Linked DNA regions of Macaca fascicularis. Each later gene encodes a partner of the first gene's protein in a complex. Links are inferred from orthologs where the notes say so. Each region holds a gene or a part of one and is shown on either strand. Other genes may lie near its edges.

Region 1 (7,891 bases):
AGACACATGTCTCAAGATGAGGGTGAGAAGTTGGTTACAGCAAATGAAGTAATAATGATCTCTGTGCTTCACAATAGGGATTCAACCAAACTGAGGTTTATAATTCACTTATTAACTCTTTTTATTTTTATTTTTTGTTGAGATGGAGTGTCCCTCTGTCACCCATGCTGGAGTGCAATGGTGTCAGTTTGGCTCACTGCAACCTCCTGGGCTCAAGTGAGACTCGTGCCTTGCTTGAGTGGCTGAGACTACAGGCACATGCCACCATGCCCAACTAAATTTTTTGTATTTTTTTTTTTTTTTTTTTTTACTTTTTTTGAGACGGAGTCTCACTCTGTCACCCAGGCTGGAGTGCAGGGGCAGGATCTCAGCTCACTGCAAGCTCCGCCTCCCGGGTTCAGGCCATTCTCCTGCCTCAGCCTCCCGAGTAGCTGGGACTACAGGCGCCCGCCGCCTCGCCCGGCTAGTTTTTTGTATTTTTTAGTAGAGACGGGGTTTCACCGGGTTAGCCAGGATGGTCTCGATCTCCTGACCTCGTGATCCGCCCGTCTCGGCCTCCCAAAGTGCTGGGATTACAGGCTTGAGCCACCGCGCCCGGCCAATTTTTTGTATTTTTAGTAGAGATGGGGTTTTGCCATGTTGGCAAGGCTGGTCTCAAACTCCTGGCCTCAAGTGATCTGCCCACCTCAATCTCTTCAAGCGCTGAGATTACAGGGGTAAGCCACTGTGCCTGGCCATAATTCACTTATCGGCCTTTTATATTTATATATGACATGACTGGGAGAATCTAGGGTCAGTGCCTTACAAATGGCACAAGTCGAAGCCCTGAGACTCTCACTCCCACCCTGCTCCCCCCATTCTCAGTACTGCCCCTCAGAGGCCTCCAGCAGCTCATCCATTTCTGCTAGACTGGGCCTGGGTACATGCCGGGAGATATGTACAGGGGCTAAGAGCAGAAACTCTTGAGTGAGACACTCCTGAGTTCATGCATTGGCCCTGCCATTTGTCAGCTAATTGACGTTGTATTTAATTGTATCATCTGTATGTAAGCCTAATAATTTGTAGCCCTCTTAGAGATGTTGTGAGCTTAAACAACATGGTAGTGAATAATTAATTAATTAATTAATTAATTTATTTGTTTTTGAGACAGAGTCTTGCTTTGTCACCCAGGCTGGAGTGCAGTGGCGTGATCATGGCTCACTGCAGCCTTGACCTCCCACACTCAAGTTATCCTCTCACCTCAGCCTCCTGAGTAGCTTGAGACAACAGATGCATGCCACCATACCTGACTAGTTTTTAAAATTTTTCTGCAGAGACGGTGTCTCCCTATGTTGCCCAAGCTGGCCTCAATCTGTTGGGCTCAGGCGATCCTCCTGCCTTGGTCTTCCAGAGTCCTGGGATTACTGGTGTGAGCTACTGCACCCACAGCCTATTTACTGAGAACTGTGGAAGGCCCAGGCACTATTCTAAGAGCTCCAGCTGTTTTATCTCCCACATTTTTGCTCAGGTAGGAGTTCCAAAGCTGGAGCTTGAAGACTCATATTTTTAGAAATTTTGCAGTGAATTCTGAGGTGGGTCAGATTGAGATTCATGGCTATGCATTCATGTTTAGGCGGTGACTAACTACTCAGGGTTTTAGAGACAAACAGACCTCATTCTGTCACTCACTGACTGAGCGGGGCCAAGTCTTTCAACCTCTCTAAGCCTCAGTGTCCTCATCTATAAAATGGGACCAATCATAGCATCCACTTCTGAGAACTGTTCAGAAGTGGAATGGAAATGAGCCAGTTTAGGTGGCTGTGTCTGGCATACACCAATGGTTTGATACGTATTAGCTTGTGCCTTTATTGGGCCAACTCCTTTTTGTTAGGTGACTGAGAAACCAAGGCCCTTCTGATCTTTATTCATCGTTCACTATTAGTTTAAATTTGTTGCTCTTCCATCCACATGATTCATTCCAAATCCTAAGTGTTGGAGAAAGGGAGTTAGTGTGTCATAGAAAAATCTCTGTTTTGGCCCAGCAGGACTGAGTTTGACTCCATGGAACTGTTTGAGCCTTAGTTTCTTCATCCATAACATGGGAGAACAATACCCTGAATTGCTGCAAGAATTAGAGATAGTTCATGTCAAGGTGTAACATACAGGTAATATGTTACTTCTGGTGTTCTGGTTATAAAATGTACAAGATGTGCAAGCAAAAGGGCAGAAAACCCTTTTTAAAAATTCATGGCTGGGTGTAGTGGCTCACACCTGTAATCCCAGAACTTTGGGAGGCCGAGGTGGGTGGATCACCTGAGGTTATGAGTTTGAGACCAGCCTGACCAACATGGAGAAACCCTGTCTCTACTAAAAATCCAAAATTAGCCACGCATGGTGGTGCATGCCTGTAATCCCAGCTACCCAGGAGGCTGAGGCAGGAGAATCACTTGAACCCGGGAGGCGGAGGTTGCTGTGAGCCGAGATGGCGCCATTGCACTCCAGCCTGGGTAACAAGAGCGAAAATCCATCCCAAAAAAAAGAAAAAAAAATTCACATGGGAAACAGAGGCGGATGGCAGAGAACAGGGGAGTGGCTGGGCACAGTGGCTCATGCCTCTAATCCTAGCACTTTGGGAGGCCAAGGTGGGTGAATTCCTTGAGGTCAGGAGTTCGAGACCAGTCTGACCAACATGGTGAAAACCCGTCTCTACTGAAAATACAAAAATTAGCCAGGCGTGGTGGTGGGTGCCTGTAGTCCCAGCTACTTGGGAGGCTGAGAGGCAGGAGAATCACTTCAACCCAGGAGGTGGAGGTTGCAGTGAGCCAAGACCGCACCACTGTACTGTTACATGGACAACAGACTGAGACTCCATCTCAAAAAAAAAAAAAAAAAAAAAAAAAAAGAGAACAAGGGAGGGTCTGGGGTTCAGAGCTTTGGGGAACAGACCTCAGTAGCACCAACACTCCAGGATCAATGCTACAAAGACACGGGTTACAACTAAACTGGAGAACATGGCCAAAGAAGGGAACTGAAGTGTCCTGGCTCAGCCCTATTTAGGGCTGTTTAGCTCTGTTTAGGGCTGAGCCAAGTAGGGCTGAGTCAGAACACTTCCTCCTTTTTTTGTGAACAGTCTACCTACATTTCAGCTACAGGGGTGGCTTCACCCAGTCCGTAGGGAGGGAGGAGAGGGCTGGTCTATGACTTCAGTGCTGAGGTTTGGATCAAGGCAGAGGGAAACTTCCTCTTCCCAGACCCTTTGCAAGGAAGAATGGCATATTACTTGTCACCGACAGGGGTTATGATTACTAAATGGAGTCAGTATAAATGCTTTCCAATAAAGCACGTCCAGCGCTCGGGGTTTTAGTTTTGCATGTCCATGAAATGTCTGCCACCTCCCTCTTCTGAATGGTTGGAAACTGGGCATCTGTTCCTTTAAATAGGAAACATTTCTTGTTCGGGTGAGTCATCTCCGTTCTGCTTTAGGAGTAAAATTTACCCTGCAGTTCATTCTGCTGTGAAGTTTTCTCTTTCTCTCGGAGACCAGGTTCTGCCCTTCTGCTGGAGGGAAGTGTTTTCACAGGTTCTCCTCCTTTTATCTCTTGTGTTTTTTTTTCAAGCCTCCTGAATTTGCTAGTCAACTCAACAGGAAGTGAGGCGGTGGAGGGAGGCAGAAGAGCCAGGGTGGTTACTGAAAGTAAAAGAAACTTCTTCCTGGGAGCCTGTCCCACCCCCTTCCCCACTGAGCACGTGGAGTTAGGCAGGTTAGGGGGCTCAGAGACTGCGATGGTGCCAGGAAAGGGTGGAGCGGGTGAGTGCCTGTTGCCGAGGTGGCCTCTTCAACAGGAAACCACATATTTTTGTTTCTTGACTTGCTCTAGAAACAGGGCTGTGGGGGCGGGGAAGAAGCTTGGATCTGCCCGGCTGAGGACACCTCTGGGTGCTGCCTGGCCAGGTCTCCTGTGGGGTTTCTCTCTGAGCTGTTGCCTCTGATCTTGCTACTTTTTCACTCTGAGCAGTCTCCATTTCCTCTGCTGCCTTTTTGTCCTCCCAGCTTCCCTACTGCCTGGAATACAGATACACAGTCTCCCTCCTGTGAACCCGTTTGGAGAGTCCAGAAAACTTTATCAATCCACTTTTTTTTCTTTTTCATTTGGCTCTGGGGCCGAGGGTTAAGTTCTTTATTCTGTCGAATCACAGTGCCCTGAGGTGCACAGACCGCTTACCCCTCTTCCGTGTCTTAAGGGTTTCCTTTTATGTCTCCACCCCCACCCCTGCCCTCCTGCCCTCTCTCTTGCTCCCCAAAGATAATTCTCTAATGTTTTGATGTGGATTCGTGAATTTATCTGTATCTTTGCAAAATGTATTTTTCTTTTGTATATGTACACTGTTTTTTAACTATGCCATCTCAGGCAAGTAAGTAATTCCTCTGTACCTCTGTTATCTCATTGTTAAATGGGATTAATAATGCCTTGAGAGGTGACTGTGAGGCTTGAAGGAGATAATACGCACACATCACTTACTACATGAGTTAGCAATTATTATTGCATATTAATACTATTGGCATTTTATTTTACTCATTCTGTTTCTATTTCTTTTTTATTTATTTATTTTTTGAGACAAGATCTTGCTTTGTCACCCAAGGCTGGAGTGCAGTGGTGCAATCATGGCTCACTGCAGCCTCGACATCTTGGGATCAAGCAATGTTCCCATCTCAGCCTTCAGATTAACTGGGACCACAGTCGTGTGCTACCACACCTGGCTAATTCAAAAATTTTTCTTCATAGAGATGGTGTCTCACTATGTTGCCCAGGCTGGTCTCAAACTCCTACGCTCAAGGGATCCTCCCGCCTTGGCCTCCCAAAGTGCTAGGATTACAGGCATGAGCCACTGTGGCCATCCAGGCATTGATGTTATCAGGCCACCTTGACCTAGCCCTCTCTGGTGAAGAGTCCTTTTCAGATACTTCATTCAGTCTTCTCAGCTATGAGTCCCTGCCCTCTGAAAGCTTATATTCTATTTGGGGAAAGACAAAAGGCAGTTTCAAAGAAGAGAGGTGCTTGATTTTCTTTTCCTACTTTTAACATCAGAAAACATTTCGTCTAACTCTCAGTATGAAGGCAATCTTTTGTTTACTGATCTGTCCCTAGAGCCCAACATGGTGAGGGCCCCAGGATTTGCCTCTTTGATAAGATGGTAAACCCATCTTGTGGCTGACTTCGTGGTGTCCCCAGCTACACTCATATACAAGGATCACCTTTGGTAAGATAGGGTTACCATCTTACCAAAGAGTTTTTGCATTTTAGAGGTTTTTCTTTTTAGATTTTTTTCATTTTAGAATTTTTTTATTTCAGAGTTTTTTTCTTTTTAGAGGTTTTTCATTTTAGAGTTTTTTCTCTTTTAGAGTTTTTTTTTTTTTTTTTTTTTTTTTTTTTTTTTTTTTTTTTAGAGTTTTTTAGGCGGCTGAGAGTGGAATCTGGTGACTTGGGGCCACAGAGATGCTCCTTGGCTAAACCAGGGGCTTTAGCTCTGAACGTTCACAGTCACCCTGAGAACAAAGATGAGGGCTCTACGATGTCCAATCTCAAGACTTCTCCGAGGTGCTCCATCAAGATTCATTGAATGAAAAAATTAAAGTCTTAATGATGAACCCAGAAAAATCTTTAAATCCTAAATACGAAATGAAAGTGTTCTTAGTTACAATCCAGTTCAACGTCCTCATTTTGGAATGTGGAAATGAGGCCCCAAAGGTAAAATGGCCCATCATAGCCAGGGGCCAGTGCTCAGGTGGCCAGATGCCCCGCCCCACCCTGCAGGCAGTCTCTTGGACCATCAGGCCTTTTTCCTCCAGCTTTAGAAGCTTTAGAAGGTGCTCTGTTCACTCAGGGGCAAGTGGTAAGCGTTCCCTCCCCTCTAGTGTTTGTGACTTAGGAGTTTCGAAACAGGAAGTACAGCTGGCTGTGCCCTTCATCCTTCATTAGACGTTTGCTCTTGTCTTAGATGCTCAGATGGCAGTGGAGAGGCCTGTAACAAAGGTGTTACCATCGTGAGAGTAAGGTAAGGATTTGCCCCTTTGTTAAGGTCAGAGGGGCCTTTTGGGAGAAGGCCTTTGATTCTGGAGTTTTTTAGGCTGCTGAGAGTGAGGTTGGGTGGCCCTGGGGCTATGGAGGTGATCCTCGTATGTGAGTGTGGATGGGAAACCATGAAGTTAGTGGAAGAGGTAGCAGTCCCTCTGAGAGCCTTGCCGAGGGCCGTGCAGTTTCCAGATCTTGAGGCCAGTCTGGCTTAGACTGATTAAGTGCTAGGAGTTTCTGAAATGCTGCCATTTACCTACTTGTATAAAGGCTTCATCCTGATCCCAGCTAAATTTGTGAAACAAAGAGTAGAAGCCAAAATTTAAATCTCAACTAACTTTGCTGCTACAGCTATCCTCCCACCAACACACATACCCACCAACATACACATTTGCCAACATAAACACACACACACACACACATACACACACCCATGTGGTCCTACTAATTCAATTATTTATGTTTTAAAGAAATTTAAAAAGGCTGGGCGCAGTGGCTCACACCTGTAATCCCAGCACTTTGGGAGGCCGAGGCGGGTGAATCACCTGAGGTCAGGAGTTTGAGACTAGCCTGACCAACATGGAGAAACCCTGTCTCTACTAAAAATACAAAATTAGCCGGATATGGTGGCGCAGGCCTGTAATCCCAGCTACTCGGGAGGCTGAGGCAGGAGAATTGCTTGAACCTGGGAGACAGAAGTTGTGGTGAGCCGAGATTGTGCCATTGCACTCCAGCCTGGGCAACAAGAGCAAAACTCCGTCTCAAAAAAAAAAAAAAAAAAAAGAGAAAAGAAAGAGAAATTAAAAAGATACAGAACAGTTCAAAAAACAATATAATGGGAAGACTAGATGGACAAAATCGGAGACCTGCACTTGTGGGGTTAAGCATTTACGGGTGAAGTTGCAAGTTTCATTCTGTTTGACAATGATGGGATTATGTGTTTTGTTGAGGTTCGGACACCTTTGCTGGGTTGTTAGAACGCCGTGGCTGCAGTGCCCTGTTATGGACACCATGTGCATGCAGAATGGATGTCTGTTAGGTTCGGGGGCAGCCCACAGTGTGAGGCAGGCAGCCTGGACCCGAAGGAGTGGCAATACTACCTCCTGGTTAGGGGTTTGGGCCTGAGAGCGAGTGGCTTTCAGGTTCTCTCAAGCTTCGGATGAGATGCAGGTTTCTGTTTCTGACAGTGAATGCGTGTTTTGCTTTTTCCCTACCTGTGGGGTAGTTATCACTGCAAGAGCTAGGACGCTGCTAGAATATTACTGGAGTGATTGTGATGAGATGGAATGTATTTGCAGTTTAATTGTGGCATGTAATACAGTGGTAGAATGGGACTCTGGAATGAGATGCTGGGGCCTAGATTCTAGCACTTCCTTTGTGAGGCTCTGACCCCCTCTCTCCTACAGTGGATTTGTTAAGAACTTCTGTTTTTGTGGTTTTGTTGTTATATATATTTTTGAAATGTTATTCTCCAAAAATGTTATGATTTTATGTTTTTCTTCATGAGATTCTTTCACCGCCTTCCAGCTGCAAGTAGAATGGCGTCTAAATCTTTGCGATCTGTCATTGAAGCCCTTGAGTGAGATACTTAAATCTGGCTGTGGCTCTCTCTCTTACTAGCTTATTTCCGAGCCGTGATTTTTCACAACAGAAAAATGGGGACAATAATGGTAGTTTCTTCAGAGGCTTTTAGTGAAATGAGGTTAAAAAATATTTTTATGTTTATGTGGATATATAGGTTATAAACATTTATATATCATTTATTTATATGATTATTATAAATACATATTTATATTTAAATATTTTGGGGCATAAATATATAAAATAATTATACTTATGTA
Region 2 (8,192 bases), on another chromosome or scaffold:
CAGCCCGGCCCCTTCCTGTGCCGAAGCCGGACTCCCCTGGTCTCCTCCCGCACTTGGTTTTGTCTCTCTTAACACCATCGCCTTCCCGCCTCAGCCCCTTCAGGGAAGGGCAATGTGGACCCTGGGAGAGATGCGAAGGGGTGGCTGGGGTGGACCGAATAGGGTGTGGCCAAATGGGGGTGAACGTTTGGTAGTGGGGAGACTGAGGGCGGGGGGCTGAAGCCTGGCGAGAATGTAGGGAAGAATGTGAGTCCTGGTGGGGATCTAGGTCAGAGCGGGGGGCGCTCATTCTCCTCGTCTCTCCGCCTGGCTGGCAACCACTACTACCAGGTTTGAACTGTTCCGTGGGAGGGGGTGCGCGTGTGTATAGCTTTAGGAGCCATAGCTTTCCACTCCCGAAGAGCAGCTGGGAATCAAAAGGGAAGCAATGTCTAGGAAGCAACCTGAGTGTGTGGTGGAGGCAGGTATGGGACCTCATGATCTCTAAGAACCTGAGGGCACCGTGGGGGGCCTGGTCTGTGATCTTTCACACCCACTCATCCCTTCCCAGAGCGCTGCAACTGAGTTGAGAGCCCAGAAGAAAAGGGACCACAGCCTCTATCCCCAGAGTTTAGGGTTAGGGTGGGGTCGCCATCCTAGGCTTTAAAGGAAGCACTGCCCTGAGATTAGAGTGGTCTGGGGAACCAGGCCTCTGGGATTCCTTCCTGTTGTAGCCGGCTGTGCCCTGACCTTGTGTGCCAGGCCGTTGCCCACTCCCAGCCCCCAGCATCCCCGCTTCCTGCCATAGCAGAGTTGTGGTGCCTCCCTATCCCTCACTGGCAGCTCCCACCCCCATCCCAGTCCCTCCCGGCCCCTGGCTGAGCTCAGACTTTGGCTAGCATTCCATCATGTTTATTGACTCCTGGGGGACAGATCACAAAGTCAGTTTGTGGGCAGGCCAGACTGCCCTAGAAGGAAGTCAGGGGCCTCAAGGGGTGGCGCTCTTCCTTAACTCGTAACTCTTGGAGGCAAGCTCTGAAGGTGCTTTATTTTCCACTATGATTATACCAACCATGTGGCCCGCTCCAGTTTTCAGGTTCTTCAGGGCCTTCTTGCGAACCTATTGGTGGGGGGTGCTGCCAGCCCCTCCCCGTGCCCGAAGGTGCCAGGCCCCCTGTGGGCAAGGCAGTTGTCTGTTGCATAGTCAAATAGTTGTTGTCTCCAACTTGCACCCCAGAACAGTTGTGTAAGTTAATGAGTGGTCGCCCTTTAAGAGAAATAGTGATGGTGGCAGGAGGGTTTAGCTGTCAGAAAGGCCAAGTTGGGGGTGGGTGGGGAGTATGAGGTCTCCACCCCCAGCTTGGCCTTGAGTGGAGTGGTCGCCCAAATGACTGTGTTAAGGTGTGTCCTGTGCCCTTCCCTTCAGAGTTCCTCTCCAGAACTGGCTTAGCAGAAGCTCTAGAGAGTAGCAATTGACATTTGAGACCCTGATCTTTTTTGCTGGGAAGTCCTCTGGACTGCTGAAACAATGGAACTTAGGGGGCTCACAGAGCTGATGCTGTGGAAAGTTAGAAAACTCAGGGAAAAATCCAAGCTTCGTTGTGTGACCTCAGAGGGCTCCTTTCTCAGGGGGTGTCAGTTTTCCCATTTATGAAATGAGGTTGAGTTAGATGATCTTCTCCCCTCGCCTCCAGAAAGTACCCTGAATCTAGATATAGATCTGGAGGAGGAGTCTCATGGAAGAATTGAACAGGGAAAAGAAAGAGGTGGAGAGTGGGTACCTGTTACTGGATTTGGCTCCGGGGTCCTGGAGGACCAGTTCATGCCATGTCTCTCAGCGCCCTGCAAACATCACAGAGCATCCAGTTCTGTCCTGGAGCCTGGACCGCCCAGTGCACTCCTCTCAGCCCCAAGTTTTGCCTGGCAAGGGGACAGCATTTATAGGACTCTTAGTGCATCCCCTAATCCTGCCAATGTCTCACCTGATTCCCCTGGGGTCCAGGACTTGGTGTTCCAGTTGATGTGGGGCTGGGCATCTGGTTTCTGAAAGTTGAGGTCTCTGGAGTCTGGGGAGGTTGGGCCACTGAATCTGAAGATGTCCCTGCTGTCCTGGCTTGCAGAACCTGCTCCTCTTGTGCCCTGCTCCTCTTGGTAAGGCTCGGGTATTTTTCAGGAACAGAGCTGGGAGACCCCTCTAGATTCAGTTTGTTTAGCAGCTCAGAAACCATGACATCATTACGAGAGTGTTGGTTTCCTGTGGTTCTCCTAAAGCCATCCATTTCTGTCCCTCCTTGGCCTGACTCGGGGGTAGAAAATCTCGGATTGCTGCTCCTGAGCTCAGATAGGAAATTCTTTACCTGCAGGGATGGGAGGAGTTTGCTGGGTATGACTTGGATGAGCCAGAGTAAACCCAAGGGAGTAGTCTCTTGGAACTCAGGGGTGGGCTGGGGAGGGTGAGGACAAAGGTCAAGGCATAAAAAAGCTGTGGTTAATGGTGAGTCATTGGATGGCCAGGTAGCCATGTTGTGCCATCCCTGACCAGCTCCTGGAGAGGGGTGATGTTGGCGCTCACTGTGGAGACAGCAGCATTTATATTGTTCTCCACCATCTGGAAGGCTTCATCAGTTTTTGGTAGGCATTCTAGAGGGACAGCAGAGTGGGTTGCAGGTGAGCAAATCTTCTTTTCCTGAGGAAAGCCCCATGCTGACAGACCCAAGCTTACCCCAGATCCAGCTAATTGGCCAGCTCACCCTGGAAGGAGGGTCTGTCCTTGGGCTCACTGCTCCAGCAGAGCTGCATTAGCTCCTTCAGTCCTTCTAAGCCGGGAGTCTCAGGCCCAGCTTGGGGCAGCTCAGTCAATGAGGGCCGGGTCTGCCTCCTGCACACTGCTCCACACACCAGTGATGCTTCTGTTGGCACTGGAGTAGGGGAGGAGGGTGAGAAGAGAAGGCATTCAGGGTAAAAGGGAATATCTGCTCCATCATGGAAAGAGGCAGGGAGTGTAATGTGGGAGCACAAGGATGGAGGAGGGCAGTCTTAGTAGGTGAGCAGGAAGGGGAAGCTTTGGGGCTTTCAAGAGAAGGGCACCTGGGGTTAAGGATCCCAGAATCCGCCTAGAGTCTTACACTCAGCTTCTCTTCCAGCAAGCACTGCCCACATTAGGATCCCGAAGCTGCAGGAGACACAAAGCTGAGGACCAGTCCAATCACTGGCAAGACTCCTTTCCTATACATCACCCCCTGGGAGGGCCCAGAGAAGTGTAGGAATCCCGGCTGTGTGTTTGGGCTGGGATCCTTACCTGTAGACATCACTGGCTGTGGAGGCCTTCCGGTTTACATTAACAAACAGTTCTGGGGCCAAGTAGCCCAGGGTGCCCCCTGGCTCCCTGGATGCTGTCCCTGACTGTGAGCCTCCCTGAAATGTGGACAGGCCAAAATCTGCCAGCTGCAAAGGAAGGAAAGAAGTGGGAGGTAGGGAAGACAAGGGGGCCAGGCAGCCTCCAGAAACCCCCTTGCCCCCAGAAGGTTCAGGTTCAGCTTTGTAAAGGGAGTGTGGAGGTCAAGGGAAGAGGCTCCCTTGGATAGTAGATCTAGGTGCCTGTGGTAGGGCTGGGTCAAGGTGTGAGTCTCCAGGGCTGGGTCAGCCATGACTCTTTGGAGGGGTTGGTGGGGCAGCTGGTGGAAAGGACTCGTGTGGGTCGGGGCCTCTATCACCTGGTATGGCAGGAGCTAAAACTCCTGGCTGGGCTTTGTGCCCTGGCAGCCCTGTGTCCAGAGGGAGAGGCTACGCCTATTCAATAGACAGGGCTCTGGAGGTCTGGTGTCCAGTGGGCCTGGCTGGAGCTGCTCTGGGGTGGGACCTTGTCCTGAGGCTGAGAGGGGTGTAGAGCAGCTGACCTTGACGTGCAGCTCTGGGTCCAGCAGGACATTGGATGGCTTGAGGTCCCGGTGCAGGAGCACCGGGTTCTGGTTGTGCAGGTAAAACATCCCAAGCACCACTTCTTTCAGCAGGCGGCAAAGCAGCGGCCAGGGCCTAGGGCACTCGGGCTGCAGCAGCCGGGACAGGGAGCCGTTCTCCATGAATTTAGTCACCAGAGCCGGCTTGGGCACGTGGTCCCAGTTCACCTTCTCGATGACCCCTTCTAGGCGCAGCACGAATTCGTTATCCAGACTTGCCATGGCCTTGACCTCCCTGGATATCGCCTTCCTACACTCCAGGAGAGAGCTGGAGTCACCCGGGGTCGTGGGAAAAATCCCTCCATTCCCCATTCAGGCCCCAGAGCACAGTGGCTCCACCTTTTTGGCCAGATTGCGGCCGGGGGGGCAACAGGGGTCACTCACGAGTTTACAATCTTGACCGCCACGTCGTAGCCCCACTTCCTATATCGCGCCCGGAACACTGTGCCGAACCCGCCTCTGCCGACGAACTCCTGGTTTTCCAGTTCCTCGATGGACACCAAGGAGGCGGAGGCACCACTGGGCCTGAGACAGGGGTGTCGCCCACTAGCCGGCAGTGCCCTACGCCAGCGCTGCTCCCCGCGCCCCTGTGACTCGGCGCTCTTACTGCAATCCCCGGCCTCTCTCGCCGGCCCCCACCGTCTCCAGACTCAAAGGCGTTCTCTGAGCGAGTCCGTGGGGCGCTCTGGGTGTGAATGTCGGAGGCTGCGATCGACATGCCTCTCCCTACTCACCATAACTTGACGCACGACATCAGGCTGGAAGGTGCGAGGGGGCCTCTGGAAATTGCGAGCAGTAGGAGATGGAATGACTTCTGGGGCTGCGGTCTTTGGCAGAGAGGGGAAGGGATCTGTCTCTGCAGGGATCAGTCTCTAGACCAGGACGGTGACTCCACTTTCCGGGTTGCTACCCGTATTCTGAGTTGACTGAACAACTTCCCTTACAGGCGCCTCTACAGTCCCGCCCCTGGGGTGGGGCAGGGGGCAAAGCGAAAGCTAGTGTCTTTCTCCCTGACTAGCGTTTCCTGAGTGCCTGCCGCATGCAGCGGCCAGGTTAGGTGTGGCTGGGCATTGAGGATGTTAGGGAATGGGTCCTCACCTTCCAGGAACCCACAATCAACCCACTCCTACAGTCAAAGCCTTCTCTTTTCCCACAGGATTTCCTGCTCCACCACCTGCCAGGCCATGAGTGGAGATGGTGCTTAGGCAGGTTTTATGGTTTTAGGGCTCAGCTCTCTCATAGCTGCCCTAAGATCATAGCCAATGCATATATAAAACTTATCATGCACCAGGTACATAGATTAGCTTATTTAATTCTCACACGAACCCTAAGGGGATAGGTACTGCTTTTATTACCTTTCTATAGATGAGGAAACTGAGACACTGAGAGTTTAAGTACCTTGCCTAAGCCCATATGGAAATAATGGCTCTGAACCATCAAGTTATCCTGTTTTCACATCATAGGTTTCAGGGCTGTTTTCACATAGGTTTCACCTGTTTTCACATAGGTTGCAGGACCACTCAGCTGGTCCTGCAGGAGGCTGGGAAAGTTGTGAAGCATCCAACGATGTAGTGAAGGATCCCTATTTGTATTCCTTGGGACTTATATGTTCATAGGGACTTATATGCCCTATGAACAGGAGCTCCTTGAGCTGGCAGACCCCAAACCCACTCCAAGGGCATTGTGGTAAGGCTAGATATACCAGCCCATCCAGCGAGTTGGTGACATTGTGGTGTACACTGCAGTGGAAACAATTCAGAGCTTTCCTGCCCTCTCTCTTGCATGACAATTCTTGCATGCAAATACCCTAATTAATGTTCCTGACAAGCACATGCTCTGGACACAGGCTTTTGATAACCCAGAAGCATGGAGAGTCTTAAAGATTTAGGGCAGAAAAAAGGTGTCCATATTTTACCTTTTGGAGGTCTGACCATGACTGGAGGTTGTGGGAACCCGATAGGGCCAGCCCTAGGCACTCAGTCCTTCACAGGGATACTCAACCCTGTGGGTTGTGTGTTGGCTTTCACTAAAAGGGGCTCACCTTGGTACTTGCTTTCCATTTTGTTCAGCGGTCCATGGGCTCTTCTGGTTGAGGCAGAAGTGATCAGCAGTTTTTTCTAGAACAACTCCTGGAGAGCTACACCATGGCTTCTGGTAGGGTCAGCTCATGCTATTTTGGAGCTATTTAGGGAATTGTTCAACTGTAGTCTCTTTAAAAGCCAATACATGGCAGATACCCAATAAATATTTGTTGAATTGAATGAATAAATGAACAACCAAAAATATTAAGCCTCTTTTAAGGCACTGATCATCCTAGATGGAGCTCCATACTCAGTAGGAGGAAAGAGGAGATCGGGTTCCTATAGGGACTGAGGGCTCTCACCTGCACAGTTCATGAAATCCGTCTGAAGTAGGCTTTAGTATAGAGATATGGTGGTATCACACAGAATCCAAGAAGGCAAGAAGTGTAGCAGGTCCTCAGAAAAGCCTAGAGTCAGAAGCTGAGAACCATCAAAAGGGGTAGCCACTCCCTTTGTGATTCTTTTTGGAGAGAATAACCCAGGCTCAGTATCTCCACTTGAAGGAAGCAGGCAAAAAGGAGTTGGAAAGGTGTTATAACCGGGTTTCTTCAGATTGGTATGAGACCCTGAGAATCAGGGATAAACTACTGTGAAGCACAAAGTTGGGTGTGGTATCAGGGCCTATACAACTTTTTGACTCAAAATAAACAGCCCCTTTAAAAGAAGGAAGAGCAGGGAGAAGAACCTTAGAGTAAGTGCCTAACAGGACCCTCAGCTTCCAGCAAGGGGGTGTGGGGGTGGACCTAGGCACAGGTTGATTCTTGGAATTTGGAAACTCAGAGTTTGGAATAATCAGATAAAGAAACTAAAGAAGCTATTGTAAAATGTTTAAAGAAATAAAAAATAGAGTAGAGAAATAAAAGAGCAAGGCATTAGAGATCATAAACAATGTCCAGATATATTTACAAAAAATAAAACATCAAGAAATGAAAAATGTATGTAACCATTAAAATTGAAATTGTAGATTTTGGTTAAACAGAAGATATAGCTGAAGAACGAATTAGTGTACTGAAAGATGAATCTGCAGACATTCTCCAGAATGCAGCAAAGATGAGCAAATAGAAAAGTTAAGAGACAAAGAATGAGTAGGTCTAACATGTTAAATTGGAATCCCATGAGAAGAGAAGCGAAAAATTAAAAATGGGGCAAGGCAATATTTAAGGAAAAAATGACTGACAATTTTCAATAACTGATGAAAGACAAGGATCCATCTGGGCACAGTGGCTGACACCTGTAATTCCAGTGCTTTGGGAGGCCACGGTGGGAGGATAACTGGAGGACAGGAGTTCAAGACCAGCTTGAGCAACATAGTGAGACCCCATCTCTACAACATAAAAATTAAAATAAAAGGTTGCCAGTTCTGGTAATCTTAGCTACTTGGGAGGCTGAGCTGGGTTAGGGTTAGGGTTAGGGTTAGGGTTAGGGTTAGGGTTAGGGTTAGAGCTTGAGCTCAGGAGTTGGAGGTTATGGTAAGTTATGATTGCACCATTGCACTCCAGTCTGGGCAACAGAGCAAGACCCTGTTTCTAAATAAATAAATGAGCAAATATAAAAAGTCAAATATACACAAATATAGTTGTGCCAAAAAGGATAAATATAAAGAAATTCACTCTAGTTATACCTCAGTGAAACTGCAGAACAGTGAACACAAATAAACAACATTAAAGGTTAAAAAGAAAGCATAGATCATCTACAAAGCAGCAGTAACTAAACTGGAAATACACTTCTCAACAGCCAAGTAAAAACCAGAAGACGTTGAAATAATTTAAGGTGCTCAAAGACAGGAAAAGTGTTCCTGAAAAAGATAACTTTGGTGTGTATACAATTTTATATTTACAGACAGGTAAAAAAAGAAAAAAAGACATTTTCAAATAAATGAAAACTGAGTTTACTACGAACAGTCACTTTCCTAAAGAAGTTTCTAATGGATGTGCACAAAGAAGATTAAAAAAAAAATTATCCCAGAATGAACGCATGAGACACAGGAAGAAACAGCAATTTCCCAGTAAGTTTAACCATGAAACTAATTAACATCATGTCAGACCCTTAGAAATGAGAGACAGTGGCTCACTAATTTTTCTTTTCTTTTCTTTTCTTTTTTTTTTTTGAGATGGAGTTTCGCTCTTGTTGCCCAGGCTGGAGTGCAACGGCGCAGTCTCGGCTCTCTGCAACCTCT
Region 3 (7,435 bases), on another chromosome or scaffold:
CCTAGAATGATCTAGATGGAACAGAGAGTGCAGAAGGAAGATTTCAACTCCTGTATTCAGATAAGACGGTGTAACATGTTTTGGAGGAAGGATCCCTAAAACCAAATCCTTGCTTTGCCATGTGCTGTATAAAAAGACTTCATCAGATTTCTGAAATATTGCTAAGCCTCGGGGTAAATCTGATAAATCTGATTCCATCTTCTGTGGATTCCATTCGGGCATAATATATCCTTGTTTCTCTATCCAACACTGTCCTAAACATTCATTTTACTCTGGTATAAAAGTGAGAGAGCTCAGTGACCTGCACAGGGTTCCCCAAATTCCTAGGGAGGTATTGTACGTAACAAAATGTAGACTATGTTTAATGTGAGTTAAGGGGGAGACCTAGGTCAGAGATCTTACAAGTGAGTTAAAGGAGAAATTTAAAAGGAGAATTGATACTACATTTGTGGATTTACCCTTAAATAATGAATTATGCACTAAGGTTTACATTTTAAAAATATATCTTATTATTTGAAATTATAAAAAAAGAAATAATTTAAATACATAAAAAATAGAATTTGGTTAAACAAAATATGGTATAGTCACAAATAGATTACTATACAAATATTAAAAATGCTTTAGAGAAATAATGTGATAAACTGTTATAACTGACTCAATAAAGGGAAAGGTCCTAAACAGATAAAAAATCTCTTTCTTTTTGGATAAATAAGCAGTTAAAGCACATACACAAACACACTACAGAGATATTTACCAACATCAATATTTTTTTCCTAGATGATACAATTATAGGTAATTTTATTCGCTTCTCTGTGTTTTTTATTTTTCTGAATTAACAGAGATAAGATACCTTTTTTGGTTTGTTTTGGGAGAAAATACTACTTTTTAAAAGCAACTTGCCATCTAGAACCAAATGGAAATACAGGGAAAAACAAACAGAGGCATAAAAAGTCAAGTGTAGGAGTCTCGAAGGCTGTCTCCGATGTGACCTGAAGCTTGGGCCAGTGGAGCTGGGGCCAGTAAGGGGCCCTGACGGGCAGTATAACTGACTGCATTTGGATCAATGCAGGTAAAGGTCAGTTCCACTGAGTTCCACTACAAAAGTCCTCTTTGGTCCATGTATCTTTAGTTGAGTCTTCCAGACTGAATGATGCACATTTTCATTACTGGTGATGGAATCACACCATGTATACTTGAACCTTGTTTTCTGAAAAATCCAGAAGTTTCTGGGCCAAACCCAGAGGAAATGGCTCCTCTAGACAAAGAGAATGAAGTATGTGTAATCAGTTTCTAGAGCTCACACAGCTATAAAATGGTGTAACACCTGCTTCACAGGAAATGAAATTGCATGTGTGGTGGATTCTGTGTTGGGCCTTTCCGATATTGCCTGCCGCTCCCTCAGGACTAAAGTAATCATTCTCATCAATGAGACTCTTCAGGCACTACTCTCTCAGCTAAACAGGGCCACCTCACCTTGTCCATGCAGGTGTATAAAGGGCTTTTTTACATTACTTTTAAAAAGCAATTTGCTGTCAAGAACTAAGGGAAAATACAGGGGAAAACAAACAGAGGCATGCCAGGCCGAGTGTAAGAGTCTCTGCAATAGATCTCTGATGTGACCCAGAGCCTGGGTCTGTGCAAACCACAGACTCCCCCACCAGTCTTGGGAGCCCTGAAGGGCATTCTCAGCTCCCGAGCTCCCTGTGGGGTAGGCCAAGGCCTCTATTGCAACTATATTGGACTTGACATTCTTCCTCTTCTACTCCTTTCACTTCCTCACAGATACTAATTCTGAAAGTGCTCTAAAATAGACTTCCTGTAAACAACTGTCTATCTCAGAGTTTTCGTCTTATAGAATCCAAACCATAACAGAGTGTTAATGTGTCCAGGCCCTGACAGAGATTAGAAGCTCAACAGGTGTTTAATCTGATTAATCAGAGGTAGTTCCTGTTTTTGTGACTCAGAGTGCTTTTCACACTGTGGCCTTAATTCCCTTATTTGCATGCTCTGAGATAAAGAACAGAGAACAATGTGGGAAATGACAGTGACAGTGATGCTCTTACAAGGACAAAGACCACTCCACTCTCCTCATCCTACCTTAACATGAGGAGAGACTTTTGGTGCAGCACGTTGCTTTGTGACATCATTTCTGACGGCTGCAGATGCAGCAGGACTCATTTCAGGTTGACTTAGTGGCTTTGGTTTTGTTACCGATTTGTATTCCTTATCAACTGATTAAAAAATGGAAGACATGGCCAATAAGCATATAAACATATGAGCAGTGCACATTTTCAAATGTCACCAGAAATAAATACTAAAACCATATTAAGATATCTTCAAGAGCAGTTAATTTTTCTAAAAAAAAAAAAAAATCTTGTTTTAAAATGAAAGAAACTGGACCTGGCACAGACACCTGTAATCCCAGCACTTTGGGAGGCCAAGGCTGGAGGATCAACCCGAGGCCAGGAGTTTGAGACCAGCTTAGTCAACATAGGGAGACCCTATCTTTATAAAAAATATTTTCAAAATTAGCCAGGTGCAATGTCACATGTTTTCAGTCTCAGCTACTTGGGAGGGTGAGGCAGGAGGATAACTTAAGCCCAGGAGTTCAAAGCTGCAGTGAGTCGTGATCACACCACTGCACTCCAGCTTGGATGACACAGTGAGACCTTGTCTGTCTCAAAAAAAAAAAAAACAAAAAACAAAAACAAAAGACAAAAAACAAAAGAAACTATGAAGTCTTAGTCTTAAATCGGTATAACACTTTGGAAAATGGTTTGGGACTCTATTTATTGAAATTCAATATCTACTTACCTTAACATCCAGTAATTCCATTCACAGGTGTACAGTCAAGAGAAACACACATACAAATACAAACATACAAAGATAAGTACATAAGGCTTATAATAAATATTCATAGCAGCATTTTTCACAATGGCCTCAAATGACTAAAATAACAATAAAAAATAGACCAATTCTCTCTCTATATATGTATATGTATATGAGTTTATATGTGTATGTAATTATCAATTAAATGGAATCTTATGTAGTAGTGAAAATGAATAAACTACTGCTATGAAACAAGGGCTGATTTCTTTTCTTTTCTTTTTTTTTTTTTTGAGGCAGAGTCTCACTCCGTCACCCAAGCTGGAGTGCAGTGGCCCAATCTCGTCTCACTGCAACCTCCACCTCCCAGGTTCAAGTGATTCTCCTGCCTCAGCCTCCTGAGTAGCTGGGATTACAGGTTCATGCCACCATGCCTGACTAATTTTTGTATTTTTTTAGTAAAGACGGGGTTTCACCATGTGGGTCAGGCTGGTCTTAAACTCCTCACCTTGTGATCCGCCTACCTCAGCCTCCCAAAGTGCTGGGATTACAGGCATGAGCCACCGCACCTGGCCACAGATTTCTAATTATGTTCTACAAGGCCTTGCCTTGTCCTTCTATCGAGGGGACCCCATCCTGCCCTCTGAAGACTCTCTGTACTCCAGCTACACTGGCCTTCTTTCAGTCCTCAAGCAGGTCAACACCTGCTGTCATAGGGATTTTCACAGTGTTCCCTCTGACTGAAGGTACCTTTAACTCCTATGCATTTTTCAGAGCTTAGTGCAAGGGTCACTTCCCTATGGAACCCACTTTGACCAACACCAACTCTAATTCGTGGCTTATGTTAATGCTCCTTTGACACATGCTGCTGAAGAACCATCTTCCTTTCCATTAGAGCATTTGTCTCAATTAATTACATTCATAAATTTTCCTGTAAGAAAAATATCTACTTTCCCTTTAGAATAGAAGCTGTATAAAATTTGGATTTGTTTTTAACACCTTGTTTTATCATAAGAACCTAAAAGCTTTCCTTGTACCTATTAGCAATTCAATAGATATTTACTGAATGGATGAAGAAATGGATGGATGGGTGGCATGTTGGCTCCTCACTAATGCCTACAAAATGCAGTTGTATACTTTGGCTGGGCTCCTCCACATCTATGGTCAGGTTATATGTTATTGTGAAAAGCCAACTCCTAGTCCTGATTTTTAAAAAGACCATGTAACAAGATGGTCGTGTTTAATGACTTAAGGCACTCTCAGGCAGAAGAGGGCCTGAGAAATTATTAGATGTCATTTCTGATAGAATTTGAACAACTCTGGGCTGAAATAGCAAGGCAATCACTTTGATTTTACTAAAAACAGAAACGATACTGTTTTATGAGGCAGTAGGTACTCTGTCATTACCTTTCAAAGATCAGAAAGTGGTTGACTGTCTGACAGGGATATTGTAGCAGGATCTCTGCTCTAGAAAGAAGTTACACTAACCTTCTAATGATAAGTTAGTTCCATGCAACTGGTTTCAGAAAGGTATGCAGATAAAGTCTCTTCTATGTTCACAGCATCGGCGAGAAAACAGCATCAAGGAGGCCAAGGGAATCAACCTACCGTTCTACCACATCACATCAGCCATACTTCATCTCACACACCGTGGTACCAATATTTGTGGACAAGCTTGTCTGCCCACTATAAATCTCTCATTTGCCTTAATAATCAGGTGGACATTGTTACTGATTATCTCATTTATCATTTTCAGCATTTTATTTTAATCTTGCAGGACTTCTGTAGACTGTGATCACATTTTCTCTTCGCTTCCTTTTTCTATGCTTATGAGTCCTTGTATTTTCTCATCTTGCTTCATACAAAAGCTTCTCCTCTCTACTAATTATTGCCTCTGTCTTCATTAAAGATTCTCCAGGTATCTTCTACCTTCCATGGGGTGAGGTTGTGAGTAGAAGAGCATATAGCACTCTACATGCAGACATGCCATGGCAACAGAGAAGGATCACTTAAACAAGAATGATAGTAACTGTTCAAAAAAAATGAAACAAAAGCTTTTCATACAATAATAGAAATAGCATGGACACACAAAAATTTCCTACATTCAAAAGAGGCCTAAGTATGTCCACGGATGGAATTTGAGAGCGATGAAGGAACTCAGTTGCCTTCTTGTAGAGCATGCAGGAAGCATACTTTGTGTTTTGTTGTTGTTGTTGTTGTTGTTGTTGTTGTTGTTTGAGACAGGGTCTCACTATTGTTGCCCAGGCAGGGGTGCAGAGGCATGATCTCAGCTTACTGCAACCTCTGCCTCCCGGGTTCAAGTTGATTCTCGTGCCTCAGCCTCCTGAGTAGCTGGCATTACAGACGCCTGCCACCATGCCTGGCTAATTTTTGTATTTGTAGTAGAGACAAAGTTTCACCATGTTGACCAGGCGGATCTCGAACTCTTGACCTCAAGTGATCCACCTGCCTTGGCCTCCCAAAGTGCTGGGATTAAAGGTGTGAGCCACTGCACCTGGCCCAAAAGCATACTTTGAATTCTACAACTGTTACATTTGGAGACTCTCATTTGGGACAGCCTCTGGATGATCTACTCCTGAGTCTCCAAGTTAGTCCCAAACTGGATCTTTTTTAGCTAAGTAGAATAACAAAATCCCAGAATCATTAGAACAGCAAAATGGGGAGAAGATTGTAGAAGGGGAAATTTTGTGCTATCCTGGTCAAAGAGAAGAATTAATTCTTGATTTATTGCCAAAATAGAAGATATTTCTAAATATCTCAGCCTATGTTTGCCAATAGATTCCTGTCTCATCCCAGATAAGAAACACAGGGCAGCTGGTTACATGGAAGTAACATGGGTAGTTACTGCCATCTAAGGGCCATCTTAAAGAACTACACCTTCTAACTTAAAGCCTGGGAAAACAACCACTCCTTTCTCATTAGTGCCTTAGAAACTACCTCACAGTTTACATCTGTATAGAATTATGGACCTACATAGTATCACTTATGTGGCTTCATTTAACCTTCTTATAAACCATGTGTGAGAAGCCATGTCACCGTGTTGTACACCCACAAATGCTATTAAAAGCTGTTGTAATCTTTGCTGTTACGGTTTTACTTTGAATCCTAAAACTGTTGCATTTGGAGACTCTCATTTGGGACAGTCCTGGAGTGATATGCTCCTTTGTTAGCTCTTTTTTGTTCTTCAGACATAAAGCCGGGACGTATCAATTGTTCTTAGTAAACAAAATCAGGAATTTAAACTAAATGTATATAATTCAGATGGAGATGATGAGTGATTTATTGAATGATGTTAAAAAAGTCTTTTTGCTGTGGGTAATTTATACTGTCACTGGAGATAGAGAGGAGAGAGAATCCCTGAAGGAGGATTCTCCCTCCCTGAAGAAGGAGGAGATCATTCCCTAAAGAAAGCAGCATAGTCTGGGACCATAGAAAGATAGGGACATGGAGAGAAATAAACAGACTGTGTGAAGGAAAAAAAGGTGCTCAATATCCTGGTTTACAATTTTCCAATGCAATAATTTATATTTTTGAGACTTCAGTAGAATGTGAGAGCATTACATACTGTGGAAATGGAGTTGGGAAAAGTTAACTTTGAAATTCTACATCCATATTCACTGTAATTGAACTGGAGACAAAGATGGGCAAGGAGAAAAGATGATAAATGGAAGTGGTCACCCTAAAGGCTGGAACAAGAGATGCAAACCAAGGCTGGAATGGATTTGTGGAATTTGTAACAAACACTTCCTACAAGTGATTCTCAGTAAAAGGGGGCAAAGAGACAGGTGCACTAAGTTAGCAAACAAATTCCAACAGTGTGCACTGGGGGTCATATCCCAGGGACGCCATGAAAGGAAAGGCCCAGGCTTGGCAGAGAAAGGGACTGGGCAGGTGCGGGACTACCACATTACCTTTCTCCTTCTCTTCCTTAAGACGTTTTACCAAAAGCATATAATTCAACTTCTGAAAAATAAGAATGGTCTTCTTCACTGCAGTCACTGCACCAGCATTTTGAATCATCAAGTTAGCTACTTGTATTCTGTTTGCGGTACGTAGTATGCCTGTGGCGATATTAAACTCGTCTGAAAGAAAGAACTTAAACCTATCCAGTTCCTCATCAGTGATGTTATCCAGGCCCGTTAGCAAGAGTATCTCCTTGTATTTACTCTCCATCTGACGACTTTGGGATCAACCTATAAGGAATCCAAAGCATGTAAGATTACAACACCAAAAGGGATTCTACATTCAAAATAAAGCAAGGTGAGCTATTAATATTTTTAAAGAAAAATAAACAAAATGTTTGCAGTAGTAAAAGAGATTTGAATGGGACATAGGTAAGAACTTCTTAAGCAAGGTGATCCCTATTCCTGGGAAAGACATCTTCAGAAAGTATACAACACCTCTGGAATTCTTAGAAAACAGGATACATCAGCTGGGCATGGTAGCTCACGCCTGTAATCCCAGCACTTTGGAAGGCCAAAGCGGGCGGATCACCTGAGGTCAGGAGTTTGAGACCAGCCTGGCCAATATGGCAAAACCCCACCTCTACTAAAAATACAAAAATTAGCTGGGCGTGGTGGTGGGGGCC
Region 4 (8,066 bases), on another chromosome or scaffold:
GGGGGGGGGGGTCACAAGCAGCTTCTAGAAATTTCTAGAGCCTTCCCTAAGGGATACTATTCCCCTCTGTTCCTCCATCTTGCTGCCTGGCATGAGGACGTCACCTTCTGAGAGCACGAGCTTGAGGACAAACTTGGTGGAGCAGAGCAACAGCAGGACCCCAGGATCCTGGCCCACGGATCTGCCTGGGACTGCCTGTGTATCATTTATGTGAAGGAGGCACAAACTTCTTTTCTGTTCAGGTTACTGTTATTTGGGTGTTTCTATTATTCACAACCCAACAATTTTAATGACTACCTCAGCAGTAGATAATTAGGACTTTAGCCAATAGGCTTTCCTTTCTGCTCAGAGAAAGGCAAATGGTAGAATCTCAACCCCATTATGACACATTGCTGTGAGGTTATTGTGAGAGGCAGTATTTTTAACCAGTCTTCCCCAGATTTTCTACCTGGTGTCCACAAACCCCTTGGATTCTAAAGATGGACTTCAGAGTGTCCAAGAACTACCTGAAATTTGATGTGACATTTGTGAAGCTGTGCATATATGCATTTTTCAGGGTCTAAGCCTGCACCAGATTAACAAAGTGGCCCCAGGAGGCACCCAGGAATCCCAATTATATAAATACAGTGGGGATCCGGTGCAGTGGCTCACACCTGTAATCCCAGCAGTTTGGGAGGCAAAGATGGGAGGATTGTTTGAGATCAGGAGTTCGAGACCAGTCTGGGCAACATAGCGAGACCCCATATCTAAAAAAATATATATATAATAAAAATTTAAAAAAATACAGTGGGGATAAAAGAAAATTAGGGGGGAAGTACTTTAGTACTTTTCAGGTCACTATTCCTAAGGATGCTAGGTTTTCCAGATCCCAGGGTCCTTTCTCACCAGAAGACCCAGGGACTTCTGGATTTGAAGACTTATGCAGTATACCACGTCCTGTTCCCTCCCAGGTCTCAGGGGTCCCTGGACCCCCAGATCTTTTTTTTTTTTTTTTTTTAGACAGAGTTTTGCTTTTGTTGCCCAGGTTGGAGTGCAATGGCGTGATCTCGGCTCACTGCAATCTCTGCCTCCTGGGTTCAAGCAATTCTCCTGCCTCAGCCTCCTGAGTAGCTGGGATTACAGACACCTGCCCCCACGCCCGGAAATTTTAGAATTTTTAGTAGAGATGGGGTTTCAGCATGTTGGCAGGCTAGTCTTGAACTCCTGACCTCAGGTGATCTGCCCCCATTGGCCTCCCAAAGTGCTAGGATTACAGGCATGAGCCACCACATCCGGCCTGGACCCCCAGTTCTATTTTTCCTCTTTGAATGCTGTGATTTCTCCTCTCCAGCGAACAATGTATTAGAAAGTGTGTTCCATAGGCTGGGTGAAGTGGCTCACACCTATCACTTTTAGAGGCTAAGGCAGGTGGATTGCTTGAGCCCAGGAGTTCAAAACCAGCCTGGGCAACATAGCGAGTCCTCCTTTGTACAAAAAAAAAAAACAAAAACAAAAACAAAAAAACAAAACCAGTGTGGTGATGAGCACCTATAGTCCCAGCTACTCGGAAGGCTGAGGTGGGAGGATCGCTTGAGCCCAGGAGGTTGAGGGTGCAGTAAGCTGTGATCACATTACTGCACTCCAGCATGGGAGACAGACTGAGACTCTGTGTCAAAAAAAAAAAAAAAAAAAAAAAGAAGGTGTGTTTCTGAATGCTGCCCCCACCACAAGCATGGAATTGTCACCTGGACAACCTCAATCCCCTCTAAACTGATGGCATTTTTCTTTTACAGTTTTTCTCTGGTCTCTTTACCTATAGGGACAGCTGCTTTAAAAAATCCAGATGGCCTGGAGCTGCCTGATCCCTTGCCAAAAACCAGAGGAAGTTCAGAGCAAAACCAGTGCAAACTGGAACAGGTAACTTCCAGTTACCTTTAGATCATTTACACATCATTATAAGGCTAAAGGCCCCTCCCCTAAAAGAAGATGGCCAGGGTTTCATGTCCATGCGATGTAGGAAAAAGCACGCTGGGGACAGCGCCTTCATGTATGGAACCCTGCCCTGGACCTGCTTACCTACCTCCCTTCCCCTCCTGGGACTCTAAAATCCCCCTGCCTCCCATCCCTGGCAAGCAGATGCCTGCAGAGGCGAGCTCCCCTTCTCTATTCTTTGGCCACTGAATAAAACCTGACTGCCTTTTTCAATTGGACGTTCTTTCTTTCTTTTTTTACCCCCCCAAAATGTTTAAGAGACGGGGTCTTGCTGTGTTGCCCAGGCTGGAGTGCAGTGGCACAACCTCAGCTCACTGAGGCCTGGAACTCCCTGGCTCAAGCAATCATCCTGCCTCAGCTTCTCGAGTAGCTAGAATTACAGGCATGTGCCACCACACCCAGCTAATTTTTTTTTTTAGTTTTGTAGAAGTGGAATCTTGCTACGTTGCTCAGGCTGGAGTGTACTGGCATGATCTCAGCTCACTGTAGCCTGGAACTCCCCCTGCTCAAGTGAGCCCGAGCAGCTGGGACTACAGGCAAGTGCTACTATTGTATTTTTTGTAGAGATGGGGTCTCACTGTGTTGCCTAGGCTAGTATGGAACTCCTGGGGTCAAGAGATCCTCCCGTTCAGGCCTCTCAAAGCTCTGGGATTACAGGCGTGAGCTATGGCGCCCTGTCCAACCTTTGGGTTTTTATTTTTTTAATTTTATTTATAGACATGGCGGGGGTCTCACTATGTTCACCAGACTGGTCTCAAACTCTTGGCCTCAGCAATCCTCCAGCCCTGGCCTCCCAAAGTGCCGGGATTACAGGCATGAGCTATCGTGCCCGGCCAGCTGTTCTTTCTTTGCAGCCGATATAAAGTAGGAAAAAACACAATTTACCGGTGACCGAATGTTCTGGATTCCCAGGGCCTTTCTCCAGGTCCGCAGACGCCCCTCCATCCGGAGTGGGCCTTGCCTGAGCGCCTGTTGCCGAGTCCGGATTCGCAGCTGTCGTTTCCTCTACAGTCAGGAGAGTTTCTGGATTTGGGGGCGCCTTCTCCCCTGTGGAAATGGTGAACTCAAGGCTTTTAGGCCGCTTCTTTCCCGAGGGCAGGTACACTTCGAAGAGCCTGCACTCCTTCCGCCCCGGCGCGCCCCCCGCCAGCCCCTGCAGCCTCCCCGCGGAGCTGGCGTTCCTGCGCAGGAGGACCTCGGCCTGGCCTGGCTCTGGCGCCCTGCAGGGGCTGGGGCCGGGGCTTCTCCCGCCCGGCAGGGCCGGGCTCCGGGTTCGAGGCTTGCCCTGCACGTCCAGGCTCTCCGAGGCCTTCTCTCTGCGTTTGCTCAAGGGCTTCCTTGACAGCCCCCTCCCGGCCTCGGGCTGGCTGTACCGCAGGCTGGCAGCCCAGTCCCCGCACGACCGAGGGCCGTTCCCCTCCTTTCCCTCCTTCCCCTCGGGGTGGTCTGGAGTCTTCAGGCTCCCGGGCTTGTTCTCCTCCAGGGAGCTGGACGCTGCGGAATCGTCTGTGCCATTTTCTTGTGTGGAATATTCTGGAAAGACAACCAGCTACAAAGTCATGAAGCTGTCCCACGTTTAGGGCCCAAGATTCAGGGGAGAGGAGAGAGAATCCCCATGGATATTAAACTTTAGAAATGGAGGAAAAAACGGGCCGGGCACGGTGGCTCATACCTGTATTCCCAGCACTCTGGGAGGTTGAGGCGGGAGGATCACCTGAGGTCAGGAGTTCAAGACCAGCAGGGTGAAACCCTGTCTCTACTAAAAATACAAAAATAAGCTGAGCGTGGTGGCATATGCCTGTAATCCTAGCTTCTCGGGAGGCCAAGTTGGGAGGATCATTTGAGGTCAGGAGTTCGAGACCAGCCTGGCCAACATGGCAAAACCACGTTCCTACTAAAAACACGAAATTTAGCCAGACGTGGTGGTGTGCACCTGTAGTCCCAGCTACTCTGGAGGCTGAGGCATGAGAATCGCTTGAGCCTGGGATGTGGAGGTTGCAGTGAGCTGAGATTGCGCCACTGCTCTCCAGCCTGAGTGACAAAGCGAGACTCCATTTCAAAAACAAAAGTTCAGGACTTCCTAGACAATGGCAGTCAATTACCATTCAGTAAGAACATGCTTGATGTTGCTACATATTTATCTCTCTCTTATTTTATTTTTTGAGACCGGATCTTGTTTTGTGGCCCTGATGTGATCTCGGCTCACTGCAACCTCTGCCTCCCAGGCTCAAGCGATCCTCTCACATCAGCCTGTTTTCTGTTTTTTCAATAGCTGAGAATACAGATGTGTGCCACCACACCTGGCTCTTTTTTTTGTATTTTTGGTAGAGACAGGGTTTCACCATGTTGGCCAGGCTGGTCTCGAACTCCTGAGCTCTAGCAATCTACCCACTTTAGCCTCCCAGAGTGCTGAGATTATAAGTGTGAGCCACCATGTATTCCTCAAATAGTACTTTTCAAACGTTGTAAGCAGGACAACTGTTTCAAATAAGATCTTACACAGGTCAGCAAAACCCAGATTATACATTTCAAAAATAAAAATAAACCAGGCACGGTGGTCCATGCCTGAAATCCCAGCACTTTGGGAGGCTGAGGCAGGAGGATCACTTGAGGTCGGGAGTTTGACACCAGCCTGGCCAACATGGTGAACAGCACTGAAAAGATTCTATACCAGCCCCGTTCATACGATTGCATAGCAATCCCTTTTTGCTAACCTAGAGATGTTTGTCTGACATGAGTATTAATCATAAATGAAGTGAAGAAGTCTCAAAGAATAGGTGCTCCAGCTCCTGCCTTTCCTGACCCTGACCTGCTTCTTTAAAACCCACTGGGAGCCTTAAGGAAGTTTACTAACCCAGTGCCAAAAGCCAGAGTGAAGGAAGGGACGTTCCTGAACTAAAGTCACCTGGATCTTGGTAGACCTGAGACTCCCGACCCCCAAGTCAGAGTGAGCTGCTCTGAGCTCCTGGTCCCTTTTCCCACAAAGCAACCAGGCCTCAGTGCTGGGTGAGGAGGCAGCCTGGGCCCGCTTACCCTGAACGGCTGCCCTGTGGAGCTCCTCAGCCAGCAGGCGCTGGTTGATGGCCCGCAGGACCTGCAGGGTTAGCCGCACAGCGTACTCTTCCCCGTAGTAGGTGACCAGCAGACTGGCCATCTTCACTGGCCTGGCTCTCTGGATCTGGCTCCGGGGGATCCTGGAGTGCTCCTTCTCCACACTGGTGTTCTGCAGCTTGAACTTGAACTTCTCAAAGTCATAGGGCACCAGCTCCTCCAGGGTGGACAGCAGATGGTCACTAGGGGTCTTGGCCATGGCGCTGAGCAGGAGACGCTGGAGCTAGCTGTCTGGCTTCTGGCAGGAGAAGAAGCCTCTACCTTGGTGAGCAAGAAAAAGTAGGTTGTGAAATAGCGGAAAAGGCACAGGAAATGCTCTGTGTCTTGGTGGGAACTGAGACTAAGGGTAAGGGTGTGTCCATGCTGGCTGTGTTCTCTTCTCACAGGTTCAGAGGATTTTCCAGCTGGGAGGGCTCAGTGCCTTGGCAGACATCTGTCCCCACACCCCTCCCAAACCCTGGACCTCATCTCCACACTAGACCACAGACAGGTGGGCAAGTCTGCAAGGGAAGGTCTAGGATTGATTCCAGACAACCCCTCCAATCTCCCTTCCTGCCAGGATCTGGGGCTGGCAGAGCGGGTGAATGGGAACAGAGAGGACTATGCTGAGGGCCAGCCCTGCTGGTCAACTGTTCTCCTCCAGACTCAGGGTTTCACAGACCCTCCAGAGCCAATGGCATGGGATGGGGGAAGGGGTGGGCAGTAAATACAGCCCCGTGAGCTTTGCCTTTCCTGGCCCAAGAAGGCAAGTGAGGCCAGAAGGGCACTGCCGGGGGTAACTCTTGCCACGCCATCACCCCTGTTGATCCAGTTCCAGTTGTCTGGTTCTTCCAGCCACATGAAGGGCTTGAAAAGCAATGCCTCGACCACCAGCCTGACTCATCTGTTCCCAGAGCTGACTCAGTTCTCACTCCCTGGAGCCAGAATGCCCTTCCGTGCACATTCACTGAACATTCTAGACAGTGTGCCAGGATGCTGAAGCTACAGGGGTGAAAAGGCACGGGTGTCCTTCAGCTCATAGTCTGGTGCAGGGCCCCAGAGGTGGCTTTGAAGCTAACAGAAGTTACATGTCGGGGGCTGGACGTGGTGGCTCACGCCTGTAATCCCAGCACTTTGGGAGGCCAAGGTGAGTGGATCACCTCAGGTTGGGAGTTCAAGACCAGCCTGGCCAACATAGTAAAACCCCATCTCTACTAAAAATACAAAAATTAGCCAGGCATGGTGGCACGCGCCTGTATTCCCAGCTACTCGGGAGGCTGAGGCAGGAGAATCGCTTAAACGCGGGAGGCGGATGTTGCAGTGAGCCGAGATTGTGCCATTGTACTCCAGCCTGGGCGACAGAGCGGGACTTTGTCTCAAAAAAATAAAAAATTACTTGCATACCCTAATTTTTTAATTTTTTGTTTTTAGATAGGGTCTTGCTCAGTCACTCAGGCTGCAGTGCAGTGGCAGGATCTTGGCTCAATGCAACTTCTGCCTCCTGGGCTTGAGCAACCCTCCAACCTCAGCCTCCCAAGTCGCTCGGACTACAGCTGCATGCCACCACATCCGGCTAATTTTTGTATTTTTTTATAGAGACAGGGTCTCACTATGTTGCACAGGCTGGTCTTGAACTCCTGAGCTCAAGCGATCCACTCGCTTTGGCCTCCCAAAGTGCTGGGATTACAGGTGTGTAATCCCTGTAATCTGGCCACTGTGCCCGTCCAGAAGTTTTGTTAATAATGCAGTTTACCCTTCACCAGCACTTCCTCTGCACCAGCCACCACTTGCTTTATAAACACTACCTCCTAGAATCTCTAGGACTGTACCCTGCAGGACTGCATTTATCATCCTCCTCTGCAGCCAAGAATCTGTAGCTTAGTGACTTGCCCAGAGCCAGGATCCAAACATCAAACCACTTCACAACATCGTCTCCTGCATGACAATAATTTGTGATTTTACTTTTTATTATTCATGACTACCCATGGATGTCACATTTCCAGCTGACCACTGAGGTCCAGGATGGGTCACTTCCACAGGTCAGTCACAACATTGTGATGCCTAGCTGAACACTCATCTCTGGGTGTGAGTGCCTCTGTGTGTGCCCAGCCAGGGGTTCAAGGCTTTGATGAGTTCTGATTGGTTGAATTTTACTTACTATCCAGCTGGTCCACCTGTTTTCTGTTTCACAGAGTATTTGATGCTTTTGCTTTATTTTCATAGCTGACAACAAACATGCAGTTCACTAGATCTTTCTGAGCCCAACATCTTCTCTAAAAAGTGGGTGAATTGGGCTGGGTGTAGTGGCTCACACCTGCAATCCCAGCCCTTGGGAGGCTGAGACAGGAGGATTACTTAAGCCCAGGAGTTCGACATTAGCCTGGGCAACATAAGGAGACCCTGCCTTTACAAGAAATAGAAAAAATATTAGCTGGGTGTGGTGGCACACACTGGTGGTCCCTGCTACTCAGGAGGCTGAGGCAGGAAGATTGCTTGAGCCTAGGTTGAGACTGCAATGAGCTGTGATTGCACTGCTCTCTAGCCTGGGTGACAGAGCAAGACACCCTATCTCAAAAAAAAAAAAAAAAAAAAAAGAAAAGAAAAAAACCATGGGTGAAATGCACATTGATGGTGCAGACGACAGATTTTTGGAATTTTTAGGCTGAGCCAGAAGAAGGGTGTTGACTAGGGTATCACTGGGGCCAGCACCTGTCCCTGATTCTGGACAGTGGCAACCCAGCACCTCCCAGGCAGTCTCCCACTACCAGATGGAGAAAGGATGGGACTGTGCAGTGACGCTGTGGGTGCTGTGTGATCCCATCTTGACTGGTCAGAAAACTCCTCGGAACTGAGACCAAAACGCCATGACAGAATTGGGCAGGGAACGATACTTTCTGGTCTAAAGCAGGATATTTTGCAATTGTGGTGACACGTTTTGCAACAGAGGCTGTTCTGAGGCAGGACTTCTGGAAGGCAGTGTTTTGATGCCACTTTGGACTTTCTAG

What was found.
Region 2: CASP8 (region 1) and RIPK3 share a complex: the UniProt entries of both Homo sapiens proteins name them as parts of the AIM2 PANoptosome complex. The link is inferred for Macaca fascicularis from reciprocal best matches to the Homo sapiens genes CASP8 and RIPK3.
Region 3: CASP8 (region 1) and AIM2 share a complex: the UniProt entries of both Homo sapiens proteins name them as parts of the AIM2 PANoptosome complex. The link is inferred for Macaca fascicularis from reciprocal best matches to the Homo sapiens genes CASP8 and AIM2.
Region 4: CASP8 (region 1) and MEFV share a complex: the UniProt entries of both Homo sapiens proteins name them as parts of the AIM2 PANoptosome complex. The link is inferred for Macaca fascicularis from reciprocal best matches to the Homo sapiens genes CASP8 and MEFV.

Annotation. Positions count from the first base shown.
Region 1 is NC_088386.1:97,034,568-97,042,458, forward strand, and holds the start of CASP8 (caspase-8), read left to right. Parts: upstream 1-3,615; 5' UTR 3,616-3,762; coding exon 3,763-3,787; intron 3,788-5,974; exon of another isoform or gene 5,975-6,033; intron 6,034-7,891. UniProt on the Homo sapiens protein: Thiol protease that plays a key role in programmed cell death by acting as a molecular switch for apoptosis, necroptosis and pyroptosis, and is required to prevent tissue damage during embryonic development and adulthood.
Region 2 is NC_088381.1:92,151,639-92,159,830, forward strand, and holds RIPK3 (receptor-interacting serine/threonine-protein kinase 3), read right to left. Parts: upstream 4,855-8,192; 5' UTR 4,690-4,854; coding exon 4,670-4,689; intron 4,461-4,669; coding exon 4,320-4,460; intron 4,186-4,319; coding exon 3,876-4,185; intron 3,424-3,875; coding exon 3,278-3,423; intron 3,152-3,277; coding exon 3,105-3,151; exon of another isoform or gene 3,067-3,104; intron 2,898-3,066; coding exon 2,730-2,897; intron 2,620-2,729; coding exon 2,552-2,619; intron 2,337-2,551; coding exon 1,962-2,336; intron 1,822-1,961; coding exon 1,761-1,821; intron 1,247-1,760; coding exon 1,026-1,246; 3' UTR 876-1,025; downstream 1-875. Other genes in the region: ADCY4 (adenylate cyclase type 4), read right to left, coding at 1-289. UniProt on the Homo sapiens protein: Serine/threonine-protein kinase that activates necroptosis and apoptosis, two parallel forms of cell death. Necroptosis, a programmed cell death process in response to death-inducing TNF-alpha family members, is triggered by RIPK3 following activation by ZBP1.
Region 3 is NC_088375.1:102,013,611-102,021,045, reverse strand, and holds part of AIM2 (interferon-inducible protein AIM2), read right to left. Parts: intron 7,043-7,435; exon of another isoform or gene 7,041-7,042; 5' UTR 7,021-7,040; coding exon 6,759-7,020; exon of another isoform or gene 2,815-6,758; intron 2,232-2,814; coding exon 2,098-2,231; intron 1,256-2,097; coding exon of another isoform or gene 1,061-1,255; exon of another isoform or gene 750-1,060; intron 1-749. UniProt on the Homo sapiens protein: Sensor component of the AIM2 inflammasome, which mediates inflammasome activation in response to the presence of double-stranded DNA (dsDNA) in the cytosol, leading to subsequent pyroptosis.
Region 4 is NC_088394.1:4,045,613-4,053,678, forward strand, and holds the start of MEFV (pyrin), read right to left. Parts: upstream 5,342-8,066; 5' UTR 5,282-5,341; coding exon 5,005-5,281; intron 3,505-5,004; coding exon 2,857-3,504; intron 1-2,856. UniProt on the Homo sapiens protein: Involved in the regulation of innate immunity and the inflammatory response in response to IFNG/IFN-gamma.